Arabidopsis thaliana: one gene and its partners. The protein of the gene in region 1 purifies or fractionates together with the protein of each later gene. This does not show direct contact. Each region holds a gene or a part of one and is shown in the gene's direction. Other genes may lie near its edges.

The links. Proteins that work in one complex are often made in the same cells at the same time.
Region 2: the proteins of ACO3 (region 1) and IMD3 fractionate together in Arabidopsis thaliana (co-fractionation; one large-scale study listed by BioGRID). This does not show direct contact.
Region 3: the proteins of ACO3 (region 1) and MS2 fractionate together in Arabidopsis thaliana (co-fractionation; one large-scale study listed by BioGRID). This does not show direct contact.

Annotation. Positions count from the first base shown.
Region 1 is NC_003071.7:2,139,468-2,147,201, forward strand, and holds ACO3 (aconitase 3), read left to right. Parts: upstream 1-1,861; 5' UTR 1,862-2,123; coding exon 2,124-2,403; intron 2,404-2,496; coding exon 2,497-2,601; intron 2,602-2,678; coding exon 2,679-2,932; intron 2,933-3,016; coding exon 3,017-3,202; intron 3,203-3,379; coding exon 3,380-3,541; intron 3,542-3,706; coding exon 3,707-3,851; intron 3,852-3,944; coding exon 3,945-4,087; intron 4,088-4,159; coding exon 4,160-4,216; intron 4,217-4,303; coding exon 4,304-4,383; intron 4,384-4,468; coding exon 4,469-4,544; intron 4,545-4,675; coding exon 4,676-4,861; intron 4,862-4,943; coding exon 4,944-5,011; intron 5,012-5,103; coding exon 5,104-5,222; intron 5,223-5,334; coding exon 5,335-5,456; intron 5,457-5,567; coding exon 5,568-5,666; intron 5,667-5,745; coding exon 5,746-6,225; intron 6,226-6,312; coding exon 6,313-6,411; intron 6,412-6,493; coding exon 6,494-6,736; intron 6,737-6,814; coding exon 6,815-6,883; 3' UTR 6,884-7,211; and 1 more. Other genes in the region: AT2G05720 (Transducin/WD40 repeat-like superfamily protein), read left to right, coding at 7,725-7,734. UniProt on the Arabidopsis thaliana protein: Catalyzes the isomerization of citrate to isocitrate via cis-aconitate. Contributes to oxidative stress tolerance. Modulates cytosolic citrate metabolism during lipid mobilization. Required during seedling growth.
Region 2 is NC_003070.9:11,141,931-11,146,402, reverse strand, and holds IMD3 (isopropylmalate dehydrogenase 3), read left to right. Parts: upstream 1-1,685; 5' UTR 1,686-1,740; coding exon 1,741-2,135; intron 2,136-2,204; coding exon 2,205-2,316; intron 2,317-2,387; coding exon 2,388-2,552; intron 2,553-2,626; coding exon 2,627-2,713; intron 2,714-2,792; coding exon 2,793-2,909; intron 2,910-3,005; coding exon 3,006-3,113; intron 3,114-3,197; coding exon 3,198-3,404; intron 3,405-3,491; coding exon 3,492-3,560; 3' UTR 3,561-3,942; downstream 3,943-4,472. Other genes in the region: IMPL1 (myo-inositol monophosphatase like 1), read right to left, coding at 1-192, 285-337, 403-460, 561-649, 748-881, 992-1,059, 1,243-1,542.
Region 3 is NC_003074.8:955,153-961,562, forward strand, and holds MS2 (methionine synthase 2), read left to right. Parts: upstream 1-1,709; 5' UTR 1,710-1,983; exon of another isoform or gene 1,984-2,137; intron 2,138-2,425; 5' UTR 2,426-2,449; coding exon 2,450-2,799; intron 2,800-2,899; coding exon 2,900-2,987; intron 2,988-3,084; coding exon 3,085-3,212; intron 3,213-3,307; coding exon 3,308-3,699; intron 3,700-3,804; coding exon 3,805-3,968; intron 3,969-4,054; coding exon 4,055-4,135; intron 4,136-4,242; coding exon 4,243-4,409; intron 4,410-4,502; coding exon 4,503-4,608; intron 4,609-4,690; coding exon 4,691-5,143; intron 5,144-5,219; coding exon 5,220-5,588; 3' UTR 5,589-5,880; downstream 5,881-6,410. Other genes in the region: AT3G03776 (hydroxyproline-rich glycoprotein family protein), read right to left, coding at 48-71. UniProt on the Arabidopsis thaliana protein: Catalyzes the transfer of a methyl group from 5-methyltetrahydrofolate to homocysteine resulting in methionine formation.

The DNA of each region.
Region 1 (7,734 bases):
ATTAAAAAAAAAAGCATAAATTAAAGCAGTATTTAAGTCAATACTTTTAGATCTTCTCTCATTGCATATATCAATATAAGAGAAATGATCGTGTATTAAATTATTTGGTAAGTCTAACGTTTTAAAGGTTTATTATTTGAAAAAACTTGAGTGTCAATGTTATCAAAGACTCAAAATAAAATTACTAAACTAATAAGAGGTTAGGTAACGAACAAGTACAACACAAAAAAATTAGTAAAATAAAAAGAGTATAATAAAAGTAGTGCTTAATTTATTAACATAATTTTTTATTTTATTTTTATCTTGAAAAAATCAATTAAGAGTAGGATTGATGATACATTTAATTTGCTTATTTAATATGATTAATATTTTAATTTAAAAAATATAGAATGACACATGTCATTTTTTTGTGTGATGATGTGTCATTCATATGGAAAGAGTTGGCCAACTTTCATATATATGATTAGATTTCTAAATGATCATTGCCGTAATATTAGTAAAGATGTGTCCAGTGTTTTAGCAATTTTTACCAAACTAATTTTGATTTACATCTTTAATTAAATATTTCATTTATTAATAATTAATGTCAATAGCATGACATTGTAAATAAGTTCAAGTACAAGATTTATTTGTTAAAGTAGCTGAAAAATGTATATGTAGATTTTAGATCTCTAAATAAGATTAACATAAGAAATCTGTATCGGTCTAACTAATGATGAATCGCGAAGGACAACGTTAGAAAACTAATGACGAAAATATGTTCATGAGAATAATATATACTAAACTAATAAGAGGTTTGGTAGCAAACAACTACAACACAAAAAAAAGTCATTATCTAGTAGTGATTATTGATAATAAAAATTTAATAAAATAAAGAGTATAATGAAAGTAGTGCTTAATTTATTAACATAATTTTTTTTTATTTTATTTTGAATCAATTAAGAATAGGATTAATCATACATTTAATTTTAGAGTATTTATAATAAATGACTATAGATTTGAAAAGAATGTACAAACTAACCTTGAGTCACAGTATCTTGTCGGAAACATGTTGGAGAACACTTGTTATTTTCTCTTATTACATAGTATTTATAAAAAGCACATGCTATTTTTTGGAAAAAACATTGTATTCAGTTTAATATATCTTTTTATCATGATATTTTGTAGTAATACACGTTTTTTATTGAGATCACACGTGATTTCTTTAAAAATATTCTTATTTTTTAGTAATACATGGTTTTTATTAAAATCACATATAATTTTTGTTTTAAGATTCTGTTCATGTAAAAGAATTTCATAATAATGTTTTAAAAAAAAAAATTCATAACGTATTATGAAATAGCATGTTTTTAAACTAAATATAACATGTGAAATTTTAATGTTACATGATATTTTGAAAAATTACACGGATGTGTTTCGTTTACTTTTCATCTTACAACAAATAAAGGATAGCTTTATTATTTCCTTTCTTCCGACAACGTGGGTCCATGGTTATTTTGTAACAAAAAACTTTATCTCTGCTAGTTTCTTAATTTGTATGTTTTATTTGGTTATCTACTAATATTACCTTTAATTTTATTATTTTTTAAATTTAAAAATATAGAATGATATATGTCAAACTTTTGTGTGATGCTTTTGTGTGATGGTGTGTCATTCATATGGAGAGTGTTGACCAATTTTCATATATATATGATTATATATTAAGAAACTATATATTACGTTGTCTTTTTCAAACAGGTAAAAATGTTATGAGATTTATTTGATTTTTAAGTAATTATTTAAATTAAAATAAATAAAAATATATATTATTTTAATAATAGGGGCTAAATAGAAATTATGTGGAGGAGAGGGGCTGCGTAGATTAAAATCCAAAAAATACCGTAAACAAAAAAAAATATTCCCTTGCGAGAGAGGGAAGATTGACTTATTGGCACGCAGCCCTAGGCATTTTCGTTTCGTCTCCACACGCCTCTCTCTCTCTCTCGCTTCTTCAATCATTCATCACTCCGACGTCAGATTCAAAATCCTCCATGATCGATCCCAATTGATCAATCAATAACCTTATCTTCTTCATCTTCTCTGTCAGTATCTGAATCTGCATCTGGAAGCGTGATTTCATCATCATGTATTTAACCGCTTCATCTTCCGCTTCTTCCTCCATCATCCGAGCTGCTTCTTCTCGCTCTTCTTCTCTTTTCTCTTTCCGATCGGTTTTATCTCCCTCCGTTTCATCTACTTCTCCGTCGTCTCTTCTCGCTCGTAGATCTTTTGGTACCATTTCCCCTGCTTTCCGTCGCTGGAGCCATTCCTTTCACTCGAAACCATCTCCGTTTCGCTTCACCTCTCAGATCAGAGCTGTTTCTCCAGTCTTAGATCGTCTCCAGAGAACCTTCTCTTCCATGGGTAAAATATCTCGATCTGATTGATCTAGCTTGAGTTTTTTATTCCGATCTCTGTTGATTAGTAGTAACTGTTTTGTGATTATGATTGTTTCAGCGTCAGAGCATCCGTTTAAAGGGATCTTCACTACACTTCCTAAGCCTGGTGGTGGTGAATTCGGAAAGTTCTATAGCTTACCTGCTCTTAACGATCCACGAGTTGGTATGGATTTTTTGAATCTCTCTTTGAATGAGTTTATGAAGGACCTGAGAATCTGAAGAGGAGTGTTGTATTTGCAGATAAACTTCCTTACTCTATTAGGATTCTGCTTGAATCTGCGATTCGTAATTGTGATAACTTTCAAGTTACTAAGGAAGATGTTGAGAAGATTATTGACTGGGAAAAGACATCTCCTAAACAAGTAGAGATTCCTTTTAAACCAGCTCGTGTTCTTCTTCAGGACTTTACGGGAGTCCCAGCTGTTGTTGACCTTGCTTGTATGCGTGATGCGATGAATAAGCTGGGAAGTGATTCCAACAAAATCAATCCCTTGGTATGTTTTTGTTTGCCACAGATTGATGCTTTTTGTTTAGGTTAGGGTTCTTTTAGATTTCTTATGTTATACTGTGTCTCTCAGGTTCCGGTGGATCTTGTGATTGATCACTCGGTTCAAGTAGATGTAGCTCGATCAGAGAATGCAGTGCAAGCAAACATGGAGCTTGAGTTCCAGAGGAACAAGGAGAGGTTTGCTTTCCTTAAATGGGGTTCTACTGCGTTCCAGAACATGCTTGTTGTGCCTCCTGGCTCTGGTATTGTGCATCAGGTAATTCTCTTTTTTAAAGTGTGCGAGTCCATAAGTTGTTTCTAAACTTGTTCTGACATTGATATATATCCTTTTCAACCTCATGTTTCCAGTGTATTGAAATGTTTCTTTTCATTTATTATCTTCTTTTATCTGTCTTGAAGTTTGTCTCAAACTAACCTCATCTTGAAAATTCAGGTCAATTTGGAATATCTTGGAAGAGTTGTGTTCAATACCAAAGGCCTTCTCTACCCAGACAGCGTGGTTGGAACTGATTCACATACAACTATGATTGATGGTTTGGGAGTTGCTGGATGGGGTGTTGGGGGTATTGAAGCTGAGGCAACAATGCTTGGCCAGGTAAATTATTTTGATTATTTACATGACGCACATCAGATGTTGGTTAATCTGGAGTCAACTTTACTGAATTTTAGATTAGATCACTATATTTTATGACTCTTCTGCTCCAATACAGTGAGGTTTGTGAATTTTTCTTATACTGATAACGCTTTTTTGGTTTGACAGCCCATGAGTATGGTATTGCCTGGTGTTGTTGGATTCAAACTTGCCGGAAAAATGCGTAATGGTGTAACAGCTACTGATTTGGTTCTAACAGTGACTCAAATGCTGAGGAAGCATGGCGTTGTTGGAAAGTTTGTTGAGTTTTATGGTAATTATATCCTTGTGAGCTCTTAAGTGTTTTGCTCTTTTATAATAGACATGTGTTTGTTGGAGCATTATAAGTCTACTTTTTTCTTCTTAGGTAATGGCATGAGTGGGCTGTCCCTAGCTGACAGGGCGACAATTGCCAATATGTCTCCCGAGTATGGTGCAACCATGGGCTTCTTCCCTGTGGATCATGTTACTCTACAATATCTCAAATTGACTGGAAGAAGCGATGAGACAGTGAGTGTTTGACTTTAATCTTCCTTCTATATATATTCAGATATCTGGTCTGATACAATACTTTCATGGCAGGTGGCTATGATTGAAGCATATCTTCGGGCTAACAATATGTTTGTTGACTACAATGAGGTAAATTAGCCTTATACTTTCTTTCTTTTTTTGTTTCTTAATCTCCTTTCAGGTTTTTATTTGACTTTGCTTGTGAATAAATTTCAGCCTCAGCAAGACCGGGTTTACTCGTCATATCTAGAACTGAATCTGGATGATGTTGAACCTTGCATTTCTGGACCAAAGCGGTATGGGTTCTGTTGGTTTTTGTAATCGCGAAGTTTATTGTCTGAATAATTGGTCATGACCATATTATTGATATCTTCTTTGCAGGCCACATGATCGTGTTACTTTGAAGGAAATGAAAGCTGACTGGCATTCATGTCTTGACAGTAAAGTTGGGTTCAAGGTATGTAACTGGATGTTTCACTTTGTGGATGTCTAATCTCTTAACCATTTACTCGTTCTATAGACTGGGTTGTTGGTGCACATTTTGGAAATCAATGTTTATTTCTGAATATTGCTATTCATTCTCCGCAGGGTTTTGCTATACCTAAAGAGGCACAAGAAAAAGTGGTAAATTTTTCGTTCGATGGACAACCAGCAGAGCTTAAACATGGAAGTGTGGTGATTGCTGCAATCACAAGCTGTACTAATACATCAAATCCCAGCGTCATGCTTGGTGCTGGTCTTGTTGCAAAGAAGGCTTGTGACCTTGGGCTACAGGTTGGTTTCACGAGAGCAAACTAGAAATCTATCTGATGCCTCGACATTTTCTGATCCCTTTTTCAAAAACTTGCCTCTGTAGGTTAAGCCTTGGATAAAGACAAGTCTTGCTCCAGGCTCAGGAGTTGTTACAAAATACTTATTAAAGAGGTATGTCGTATTTTTATCTAGTTCTTCGTTGTTAAAGGCTAATTCTTTCTTATGTGATGGTAAATTTAAGTGTAACATCTTACTCCATGCAGTGGATTGCAAGAATATCTGAATGAACAGGGTTTCAATATTGTCGGCTACGGGTGCACTACATGCATCGGGAATTCTGGGGAAATTAATGAATCAGTGGGAGCTGCTATTACCGAAAATGGTATTATTGAGATTCCCAACTAAACTTACTTTGGACTTTCCATCCTTTATATTACTATTATATATAAGTAAGTAGCTGATTTGTTTTCAATATTTGTGTTGCTTGGTTTTAGACATTGTGGCGGCTGCTGTGCTATCCGGTAACAGGAACTTTGAGGGGCGTGTTCATCCACTAACAAGAGCCAATTACCTTGCATCTCCTCCGTTGGTGGTTGCCTATGCTCTTGCTGGCACGGTAATAAATCTTGAGAACTTGTCAAAGTTCAACTTACATTTTGTATGAGATAATGACACATGACTGATTATCACATTGGTAATTTTGGCGTTCTTCTTTCTTATTTTCCAGGTTAACATTGACTTTGAAACGGAGCCTATTGGCAAAGGAAAGAATGGCAAGGACGTCTTCTTAAGAGATATCTGGCCAACCACGGAAGAAATTGCTGAGGTATATACGACTTAACCAGAGAACAATAACATCTTTTTTATACACAAATATTAAACTAATCTTTTGACATATGGATCAGGTTGTTCAATCCAGTGTTTTGCCTGACATGTTCCGAGCAACGTACGAGTCAATCACCAAGGGTAACCCCATGTGGAATAAGCTGTCTGTTCCTGAGAATACCCTCTACTCATGGGATCCCAACTCAACTTACATTCACGAGCCTCCATACTTCAAGGACATGACCATGGATCCTCCTGGTCCACACAATGTGAAGGATGCTTACTGTTTACTCAATTTTGGGGACAGTATCACCACTGATCACATCTCACCAGCTGGAAACATCCAAAAGGACAGTCCTGCTGCAAAGTTTCTCATGGAGCGTGGCGTTGACCGTAAGGACTTCAACTCATATGGAAGTCGCCGTGGGAATGATGAAATAATGGCCAGAGGTACTTTTGCTAATATCCGTATCGTTAACAAGCTCATGAATGGTGAAGTTGGCCCTAAGACTGTTCACATTCCATCTGGAGAGAAGCTCTCAGTCTTTGACGCTGCCATGGTTTGTATTTATCTAATTAAAATTTGTATTACTGACTGTATGTTGATCATGTCGAATGTCTCCTTATCATAATGTCAAATGTATCAGAGGTACAAGTCATCTGGTGAAGACACAATTATTCTGGCTGGAGCTGAGTATGGAAGTGGTAGCTCACGTGATTGGGCTGCCAAGGGACCCATGCTACAGGTTTAGAACCGCTTCTCTAGTTTCTTTCCGCATAAACCAATCTTACTGTTTTATTCTGAAACAACAAGTTTGGGATTGTCAGGGTGTTAAAGCGGTGATTGCAAAGAGTTTTGAGAGGATTCACCGAAGCAACTTGGTGGGAATGGGAATCATCCCATTGTGCTTTAAGTCCGGTGAAGACGCAGATACTCTTGGATTGACTGGTCACGAACGCTACACGATCCATCTCCCAACCGATATCTCAGAGATAAGACCTGGCCAAGATGTTACCGTCACTACCGACAACGGAAAATCTTTCACTTGCACAGTCCGCTTCGACACAGAGGTAACTAAATACTCCAATCTTTAGTGAAAAAAAGCTTTTCAATGTGAAGGAACTAATAATGGTAAAATAAATGTGCAGGTGGAATTGGCATACTTTAACCATGGAGGCATACTTCCATATGTTATCAGAAACTTGAGCAAGCAATAGTGAAGGAAGCAATACACAAGTTATGGAGCAAAATAAAAGAGTGTTTGTTTCTGTTTTAAAATGTCTTTTTTAAAAGGCAGATAAGTCTGTCTAGGATTAGGTTAAAAGGTGAGTGATCTCATGCAATATATGAGTTTCAGTGGGTTATTCTTACACGCTTAGGCTCCCATGTTTCGCAACTTGCAAGAGTTGAATATTATTGTTTTTGAAAAGGAATAAGAGAGCCTTCTTGCATATTCCCATTACTGACTCCCAAAGACCTCGCAATCTGTTGCATTTCACAAGCGTATTCAGCAGCATCTATACCAATTCTCAGATCATGTTCAAGAACACCTGCTCTATTCAAATCTACTTGCACCATTAGAGTAACCAACTAATACATAAGAAACACAAACATCTTGCAGCTGAAGCCTAAAACCAATACAAGAATCTGATAAAACCAAACTGAAACTTGTCATAAATTCCATATGAACCTGAGAGTAATCTCCTGTGTCTGAATGAAGTAACTTGCCAGCATCTTCTTCCATATGAACCCTAGTAATACCAAAATCTCCTATGTCCACCACCAAACTCAAGAGGAATATCCAAATCTGATAACCTTGAAGAAGATCTGGATAAAAATACTGCTTCCTATCGAATTTAGACTTAAGAGACAAATCACAATTCAAAGCTAACCCCAATAACCCACTTTTTTAATAGATTTCCTTTCTTTCTTTCTGATCCATCTCGTTTACTTTGCTATAAATAAGAGCTTTGGTAAGCCAAACCTTCTTGTCTTCTAAGTGAACTAGTCTTGTCACGAGCTTCTTCTAGATCTTGTTTCAAAAGTTTGTTTATACCAATGGGTCCAA
Region 2 (4,472 bases), on another chromosome or scaffold:
CCATGGCTTTAAACGGTACTCCCAATATGATTCCGCAATCCCAAGTGCAACATGACACATGTCAACTGCAGCAGCACCGAGTCTTCGCACTCCCCGACTCACATCAGTAAACTCTTTGAACAGTTCCATGTTAGTGCTCCATGCATCATCATGTTCATAACCAAACCCTGTGATAAGAAGTGCTCTCTCCACCTTCATTCAAACCCGAATAAATATCTAATAAACCAAAACCATTGAACACACCATGTCGAAACTTAAAATTGGATTCTTGATAAGTTACTTACAGCATCGGTCTTACTGACATGAATTTTTTGCCCGTTACACAATGCTCCACCACCTAAGAAGTGAACTAGTTAGACAAAATTTAGATATATAGCCAAACATAAGCTTGTCACATAGTACCTGCAGTTGCAGAAAAGGTTCGAGTGTTCCAGCACATCGGACCACCGACAAACTCTACCTGCATGATGAGATTTTGTTGTTAATCCTACTGACCAAAGAATCAGCAAATAGGAACTAACAAGCATTAGCTGGTTTGTGCAAGTATATATTGGATTTACCACAGAAGCAGCGGCGGGATTTCCACGATACAGAACACCGACGGAAACAGCAAAACTGGGATATCCATGAGCAAAATTTGTAGTTCCATCTATGCATAAAGGAATTAAGAGACTAATACTAAAAATCTCAGAGATTCCACACAAACACATGAAAAGAAAGCAATGAGATTTGTAAAGAGAGCTAAACCTAGAGGATCAATGCACCAGAGGTAATCAGAAGACGAATCGCCGATGATACCTCCTTCTTCACCAAGAATAAGATGATCACTAAAATTCTTCTTCACTACTTCCAAAATAGCAGCCTCGCTTGCTTTATCAGTACTGCAAATTCATCAAAAGTACTAAAACTTTAATAGCTTCAACCAATCAAGTCAACATGAACATAGTTAAAACCTCAAGCTAACAATTTTAAAAGGTGAAGAAGTCCTTACTCAGTTACTAAGTCACTGAGACCTTTATAAGTAATATTCCTTGGCTTATTTACAGCTTCCATAACCACCTAACAAACCAGATGATTCAATTCAAGTTAGTTTTGTTATTATTCTCCTTGTGCAGTTGTGCCCTACGAACCCAAGAACTTGATTCTAGTACCATTGAACACAATTTCAAGTCTCATCAAGAGTTTTTGTTTCCAATAAACATAAATTCAGATATTGTATTCTACAGACATGAAATTTCGAACCTCAGCGCCGGTTTTAGCGGCGAGTTCAACGACTTCAAGGAGGTGTGCCGGAGATATAGTTCCGGTGGTTTTAGCGCCGATTCTGGGATATCGCGTCTGATCAGAAACCTCAGACAGAACAGCTTTGGTTTGAAGTCTCGTTGTGGACTTGAAGCTATTAGACAAAATCCTCGTACACCGATATCGGAAAGTTCTGTTCACTGTCCGGCCTGAAATTGGGTTTTGCAGCGGAAGAGATGATCTGGGTAAGTGAGAGATTCTCAATGACATGTTTCCAGAGAATATTAGAGACCTTCCCATTGTTGGTGTCGCCGGAGAATTTTCGAATTTTTGTTGTTGTTCGGTTTTTGGTTTATATGAACGCGGCCAAGTGAACGGATGGTGGACATGAGAGAGTCCAAAAAGCTGATAGAACTTAAAATTGAAATTAATGAGAACATTGAACCAAAATCAGGTTAACAAATAACCAGAGATAACCGGTCTCTGTAGTATACTCAAATGGTTAGTTTTTGCCGATGGTGGTGCCCTAAACTCGAAAAAAAGATGGCGGCGTTTTTGCAAACTAACATCCGTCTGGAGATCATACCGGGAAGATACAGTTCTCTCACCGATCATAAGTTTCGTGCGCCGTATCGAATTAGGTGCGCCGCCGCTTCACCGGTGAAAAAACGGTATAACATCACTCTGCTTCCCGGCGATGGTATCGGTCCAGAAGTTATATCTGTTGCTAAGAATGTGCTTCAGAAAGCTGGATTTCTCCAAGGACTAGAGTTTGATTTCCAGGAGATGCCTTTCGGCGGAGCAGCTTTGGATTTGGTCGGAGTTCCATTGCCGGAGGAAACTTCCACTGCTGCTAAACAGTCTGATGCCATTCTTCTTGGAGCTATCGGAGGGTATGTGTAATGCGTGTGTGTGTTGTTTCTTCAGCAAATTTATTCTCTTTATGATGATTTTTTGTTCAGGTACAAATGGGACAAGAATGAGAAACATCTGAGACCTGAGATGGGTCTGCTTAACATTCGAAGAGATCTCAATGTCTTTGCTAATTTGAGACCTGCTACAGTTTTACCACAGGTATTGATTTGCTTATCACTTTGCTTTCTAGTTGTAAATATACTCAAATTTTTCTGTTTTTGCTTGTTCAGCTAGTTGATGCTTCCACACTGAAGAAAGAAGTAGCACAAGGTGTTGATATGATGATTGTAAGGGAGCTCACTGGAGGTATTTACTTTGGAGAGCCAAGAGGCATTACGATCAACGAAAATGGCGAAGAAGTCGGTTTTAATACAGAGATCTACGCTGCTCACGAGGTACTACTTACTCTTCACAATCTGCTGCTCTGTGACAATGTATGTGTATTAATGCATTGCTTTATCTTCTTCAGATTGACAGAATTGCTCGTGTTGCATTCGAGACTGCTAGGAAAAGGCGTGGCAAGCTGTGTTCTGTTGACAAAGCCAATGTCTTGGATGTATGTTTTGAATTGTTTTTCCACTCCACTCTTGTGTGTTTTTCGTTATACAATTATTTTTTTGTTTTGTTTCGTATAGGCATCAATATTGTGGAGGAAAAGAGTAACAGCTTTAGCCTCTGAATATCCAGATGTTGAACTATCACATATGTATGTCGATAATGCTGCGATGCAGCTTGTCCGTGACCCGAAACAGGTGATCTTCGCGCATATATAAAGCTTAGCCGTTGATTAAGCTAACACAGAAGTGGAACTTGTAGTACTCACGGCATTTTTAAAAACATTATTGCAGTTTGACACAATCGTCACCAATAACATTTTTGGTGATATATTGTCTGATGAAGCTTCAATGATCACTGGTAGCATTGGGATGCTTCCATCTGCAAGTCTTGGTGAATCGGTAAGTAAGACTAAATCTAATATTTCAAGGTTCCTCTGTTTATTATTATCATATATTGATTGTTAAACTTGTGATGAAAACTAGGGACCTGGACTCTTTGAACCTATACATGGTTCAGCACCAGATATAGCTGGACAAGACAAGGCAAACCCATTGGCCACCATTCTCAGTGCGGCGATGCTTCTCAAGTATGGACTTGGAGAAGAAAAGGCTGCAAAGATGATTGAAGACGCGGTCGTGGATGCTCTGAACAAAGGTTTCAGAACCGGAGACATCTACTCCCCCGGAAATGTATGTGTATGATGATTTCTGTCTTTTGTTTTGTATAAGTTAATGACAATATACTTAAAGAAGTCTTTTTGTGTTTTGAAAATGCAGAAACTGGTGGGATGCAAGGAAATGGGTGAGGAGGTTCTCAAATCAGTGGACTCCAAAGTTCCTGTTTAAGAAAAGTGTGTAGCCCTTGGTTTTACTGTTACTTTTTTGCTAATACATGTATTAGAAACTGTATTCTTGTAGCTTTTATAATAATAAAATATTTGGGATCGATTCTGCAATTCAAAGACAAAATTCTCCAAGAACATTTGACAAGTCTCCTGCCTCAGTACCTTGTTCTTGAAGATTGAGAAGTTCTCGCCAACTACAAAACTCAACATCTTCTTCAATCAATATTTGTTAAACGAATAAAGTTTCAAGAGAGACAAGAAACTATGTTTTTTAGCCGCTAGAGTATTACATTTTTCTACTGAAAAACCAAACTTATAAAACATAACATTTATAAATCCGAAAACAACTATCAATCATCAGGTTAGCCTTTGGATTCACGACGACTTATCAGATTTGCGTTCAGCGTCTGCGGCAGACTGCATTTGAGCTGCATATGGTAAGTTCCAGAGAACATCTTTAAAGGAAGTCTTGCAGAAGGTTCAAGCAAAACACATTTATTGGCGATTGAGATGGCAATTGGGTAAAGACTCCTGCGAGCTTGTTGTTAGGACCGTTGGACTTCCTATTTTCTGTCGACAGTCTTGGCTCCCAAATGACGTCTGCAAATACAACATTGCAGCAACAGCTATTAACAATGATGAAGATTTGCTTCTTTTCTTTACCCTATATGATACCATTTCGTTGAGAAGATAGGCCTCTCCTTTTTGTAGTAGGTACTGGTCCTATCAGAGATTCCAGAAGTATGAATCCAAAGTTGTACACATCGCCCTCTGTTTTAGCCATTTTCCTGCATAATTCCAAAGCTAAGAAACGTGATGAATCGAAATCGTCTGTGGCTTCCTTTAACTCTTCAAAAGAAAATGACCGGAATGAGGGCACACCTTGTGCACCTAGCTTTGCTGCTTGAGAGAT
Region 3 (6,410 bases), on another chromosome or scaffold:
TAAAATATATACACAAATCTTACAATCTATTATGCGTTTACGCATACCATGTGATTGGAAGATGATTCCATCGATCTAGATTAGATATGTTTTGTTATTTGTTCCTGCTCTTGAGAAACCTTAGGAAAACAAAAAATTTGGGAGGTTTTGGGTGGTGAAGAAAAGTTTCTTCTTTTATTATATTTTGGAAATATGGATATATGATGATAAGAGATATCAATCTATGAATTTTTTATTTTCCTTAATTAGTAAAAAATTTCGATCTATGGATATCAGTATATCGTCTATGAATTTTTTATTTTCCTTATGATAAGAGATATCAATCTATGGATATATGAATTCTTTTAGTTTCCTTATATATTGAATATCATATTCTCTTTTCAAAGTATGGAAACTTTATCGTCTCTTGCATGTGATCTCGCCGTTAAAACTTATAGTATATTCTGTAGGATTGATGATATGTAAACGTGTTTATTCATTTAACTTTCTTACAAAAAAAATTGAAAGTAAATTAGGTATGTAATGTGTAATGCGATATTTCAAGACGCACAAGTATATATTAGTCGGAACATTTTGTCAAATTCTTTTACTTTGGGAATACCGAATACGCATGATACATTAGGCATTAGCGAGAAATAAGAAAAAAAAAATGTCTCATTAAATGGTCGTGCGTTTTTATATCTATATCCCACCGACAGCCGACAAAACCATAGCAAGGCATCTACTGATCTACTAATGCTTCGGAATAGACCGATGTTGGATATTGTGAGGAAATATAAAATTTACCGGATACAAATATTTCTGTGTTTTGTTTTGAAATTTGAAGTTACTTGTTAAGCGTCTTGATGGATTAAAGTTTTTTGAGTCGAAAAACAAAAGAACGGACTTTCTCATGTGAAAGCATTAAAAAAAAGAGTTCTTGCTACAAAACAAGTTACAAGAGATGGTAGAAATACACTTCTTTATTCGAAACATAGAATTTTCGTATTAGTCGTCCAAACAGAGCATTGAATATTCTTTACTGAACTAGTTTACCATTTCATACTAGACTTCTTTACATACATTATAGACGTATATTCCTCATTAAGGTGAATATTATGACAACTTATGGTTAATAGGTTTCAAACGTCATTGTTGAATAAAAAAAATTATGTGAAGATCAAACCATAAGAGGGACGTGGAGGATCTCATAATCATTCACCAACTTTGTTTACCAAACAAATCTCCAAATTTGTGTGGCAAGAATTGTTGGTACTGACTCCCAAAAATGAAATTAAAAGTGAATATCTCACCAACTCCCTAATGGGCTCCACCCACCAATCCCGCTACCTCCTTCTCCTCATGTATACTCTTCACAAACAACACACACCAACTCTCCTCCCCACCTTCACATTTTCAATTCCATAATTAATCCCCTCTTAAGCTCTTATATCTTAATTAATACTACGCTTTACAATACAACATACACTAACCCCTTAATTAACCCTTAAACAATTGTTTTAAGCTTTAACTAGCCAGTGAGGACTTGACAAAAGTCAACTAAAATTACCAGTAAACTAGTACTAATTCAACGGAATTAAGTTCTACCAGCTTATATAATTGTAATGTCATGCCATGATCAAATACATTTTTTTATTATGTAAACCGTCGTTATACGTATAATTCTCGAAAGTTGTATATAATTGACCGTGCCCTTAAATTTGAAAGATAAAAATTAGTATCATTCTGGATACATGGATTACACGTATTTTTATTTATCATATAGTATAATGTTGTAGAGAGGGTAAAAACCTAAATATACGTATTTTGATGTACATGTACGTATTATTAATTTAAATAGAAAAATAATCAGCCACCACGAGTGAGTGAGAGAAACCAAGGAACGATGTGTAATTGATTTGCTATAAATAAGCTTAACACAGAACACTCTCCATCGTCGCTCTCTTTGCCCATCTCTCATCTCCACTCTTCTCATTCCGTAAGGTACGCTTCCGAGTTTCCATGGCTTCCGCATGACTATTCTTGCTCTCTCCCTTCCCACTCTCTTATTTACCTTCCGTCTCTTCGTTTTCTTCTCAATTCAATTTTCGTTTGATTCCGTTTCTTCTTCGTTCGTTAATACTTAGATCTTAATCCGGTGAGTGAAATTCTATGAAACACAGATCTGGATTTTTTATACGATCAGATTCGTAAAATCTCTGTTTTGCGATCTTTCTCTGCGTTAGATCTCTGTTTTCCCTAGTTGTGATTCGTTTTGATCTTTAAACTCTCTCATACTCTGTTTTCAATAAATACGACAAAAAAAACTGCAAAAGTTTTTTACTTTTTTAACGATTGGTGGCTTTTACCATATGACAAGAAGTACATTTTAGGATTGTGTTTGGTTTACTGACTGATTTTGGTTTTGTTTGTGGTTCAAATGTAGTAAAAAAACAAAAAACAAACAAAAATGGCTTCCCACATTGTTGGATATCCACGTATGGGACCTAAGAGAGAGCTCAAGTTTGCATTGGAGTCTTTCTGGGATGGCAAGAGCAGTGCCGATGATTTGCAGAAGGTGTCTGCTGATCTCAGGTCTGATATCTGGAAACAGATGTCTGCTGCTGGGATTAAGTATATCCCAAGCAACACCTTTTCTCATTATGACCAGGTGCTTGACACCACCGCCATGCTTGGTGCTGTTCCATCTAGATATGGATTTACCAGTGGTGAGATCGGTCTCGATGTTTACTTCTCCATGGCTAGAGGAAATGCCTCTGTTCCAGCTATGGAGATGACCAAGTGGTTTGACACCAACTAGTGAGTTTCTTCTCTACTCTTTAACTTGTGTGTTGACATTGTTATTGGATTTGTGAGTTGTGTTATTAACGTATTTTTTTAATGTTTCTGTTTGATGCAGCCATTACATCGTCCCAGAGTTGGGCCCTGAAGTGAAATTTTCTTACGCATCTCACAAGGCTGTCAATGAGTACAAGGAGGCCAAGGCTGTACGTACTCAACTAATTTTCCTATTTGAACATATATAGGCTTCTTTTGGTCTGGTATTGAATGTTCTAATATAGTAATGTGGTGTTGTTAATGCAGCTTGGTGTTGAGACCGTCCCTGTACTTGTTGGCCCTGTCTCTTACTTGCTTCTTTCCAAGCTTGCTAAGGGTGTTGACAAGTCATTTGATCTTCTCTCCCTTCTCCCCAAAATCCTCCCAGTTTACAAGTAAGAGATTACTTTTGCTCTAGTACTCAATTATTCTCTTTGACGCTAGGAAATTTGTTTCTGACATACTATTGGAATGGTGAATCTTTTCTCAGGGAAGTCATTGCAGAGCTTAAGGCAGCTGGTGCCTCCTGGATTCAGCTTGATGAGCCTCTCTTTGTCATGGATCTCGAGGGTCACAAACTCCAGGCTTTTAGCGGTGCCTATGCTGAGCTTGAATCAACTCTCTCTGGTCTGAATGTTCTTGTGGAGACCTACTTCGCTGATATCCCTGCTGAAGCATACAAGACCCTTACTTCCTTGAAGGGTGTGACTGCCTTCGGATTTGATTTGGTTCGTGGCACCAAGACCATTGACTTGATCAAGTCAGGTTTCCCACAGGGCAAGTACCTCTTTGCTGGTGTTGTTGACGGAAGGAACATCTGGGCCAATGACCTCGCTGCCTCTCTCATCACCTTGCAGTCACTTGAGGGTGTTGTTGGTAAAGGTATTATATTCTTCCAGAATCTCTTATGTGGATTACTCAATTAGAAGTGTTTAATTTGTTATCTTTCTCTAACTCGTTGGTTTTGTTATTTGTGAATTGGTGCAGACAAGCTTGTGGTCTCAACCTCTTGCTCTCTTCTCCACACTGCCGTTGACCTTATTAACGAGACTAAGCTTGATGCTGAAATCAAGTCGTGGCTAGCTTTTGCTGCCCAGAAGGTTGTTGAAGTTGACGCATTGGCCAAGGCTTTGGCCGGTCAGACAAATGAGGTATTGTAAAAATCCTACAAACATGTTTCCCAAGTGAACCCTTTGTTTGAAAAAGACTTCAAGTCTCTAATATTTCTCTCTTTCAGAGTTTCTTCACTGCCAACGCTGACGCATTGTCTTCGAGGAGGTCTTCCCCAAGAGTCACCAATGAGTCTGTCCAGAAGGCTGTAAGTTCTTGCTTTCATACTCAAGCTTTCTTTACTATTATGATGGTTTTCTCTGTATGATATATGTTTCTATTGATCCTAATGATTTGTAATTCCTGCAATCTCAGGCTGCTGCTTTGAAGGGATCTGACCACCGCCGTACAACTGAAGTTAGCGCAAGGCTAGATGCTCAGCAGAAGAAGCTTAACCTTCCAATCCTCCCAACCACAACCATTGGATCCTTCCCACAGACCGTGGAACTCAGGAGAGTTCGCCGTGAATACAAGGCCAAGAAGTTAGTCTCTTAATCATAATTTTTTTGCATTGATCATTTAAGCATGTTTAGTAAGTTGATTGTGATGCTAACTGGAACTCTTTCTTCTACTAGAATCTCTGAAGAGGATTACGTCAAGGCCATCAAGGAAGAGATCAAGAAAGTTGTTGACATCCAAGAGGACCTTGACATTGATGTTCTTGTTCACGGAGAGCCTGAGGTCAGTCTTTGTCTCTTACTAGACCCTAAAACTAATTACAACGTCCTGTTTCTGACTCAGCCATGCTTTGACAATATTATAGAGAAACGACATGGTTGAGTACTTTGGAGAGCAATTGTCAGGTTTCGCATTCACAGCAAACGGATGGGTGCAATCCTATGGATCTCGCTGTGTGAAGCCACCAGTTATCTATGGTGACGTGAGCCGCCCCAAGCCAATGACAGTCTTCTGGTCCTCAACAGCTCAGAGCATGACCAAACGTCCAATGAAGGGTATGCTTACAGGTCCAGTCACAATTCTCAACTGGTCTTTTGTCAGAAACGACCAGCCCAGGCACGAAACCTGTTACCAGATCGCTTTGGCCATCAAAGATGAAGTGGAAGACCTCGAGAAAGGCGGTATTGGAGTCATTCAGATCGATGAAGCCGCACTTAGAGAAGGATTGCCTCTTAGGAAAGCCGAACACTCTTTCTACTTGGACTGGGCTGTTCACTCTTTCAGAATCACCAACTGTGGCGTCCAAGACAGCACTCAGGTAACAACACTGTACACTTAAAATCTCAAATAGTGATGAATGTTTCTGCAACTAACTTCTTTATTTTATCTTCTAGATTCACACTCACATGTGTTACTCAAACTTCAACGACATCATCCACTCAATCATTGACATGGACGCTGATGTCATCACCATTGAGAACTCTCGTTCAGACGAGAAGCTTCTCTCAGTGTTCCGTGAAGGAGTGAAGTACGGTGCAGGAATCGGTCCTGGTGTTTACGACATTCACTCTCCGAGAATACCATCCACAGATGAAATTGCAGACAGGATCAACAAGATGCTTGCGGTTCTTGAGCAGAACATCTTGTGGGTTAACCCTGACTGTGGTCTGAAGACAAGGAAGTACACTGAGGTTAAACCAGCACTTAAAGCCATGGTTGACGCGGCTAAGCTTATCCGCTCCCAGCTCGGTAGTGCCAAGTGAAGAGCTTGAAGATATTATTTCTATATTCCGGGATTTTTCTACGTGGTTTGTGTTTGTTCAGTTTCAATAACTTTTCTTCCAAGAAAAATATTTTAGCCAAAGTTAGGTTTTGAGGGAATGGAGTCACACTCTCTCGCTTTCGTTGAAGAGAGTTTACGGCTTTATACTATATGTTTCTCTTGTTGCAATGTTATATGTATCTTTGTTTTCTCTAATGAAATATATGCTTCTTTGATCTCTTGAAAGTGTGGATACGAATTAATTTGTTATACAAGCCCCCAAAATGTGAAATCTTAAAATCACTACTAGTGTTGTAGAACTAAAGAATTTGCTGAAAATAATCCATTATTGTTATAAGATCATCCACCATACTACAAAAAGATTTGATTTGATACCATGAAAAAGGACACAGTTTCGAACCTTTGGAATGCTCGATTCGTGCATGTAAAGATCACTTGACGTGGTATACCAGAGAACCAAAAGTAGTACTATATTTTCATGTCTTGTTAACCATTTCTTTTGCATGGTGTAAGCATTTCTTTTCAAAGTACCAAAAGTGCGGTATTTCATTTTATGTGGAATTTCTTTTCCAGAAATTTATAAACTTTATCACCGAACGCAAGTTACACAATAACACTGCAAAAGTGAACCCAAAAAAAAAAACCCTGTAAAAGTAAAAATTTGCTTAAACTTAACATTCTTTCACCGCTCCGTGACGTGGACATTTGGCTGGCAAAGAAAAGGCATAACATCCAATCAAAGATATCCACGTAGTCCGATTTATGTCACGAGAGCTGACGCGTCACATTATGCATTTTTTTT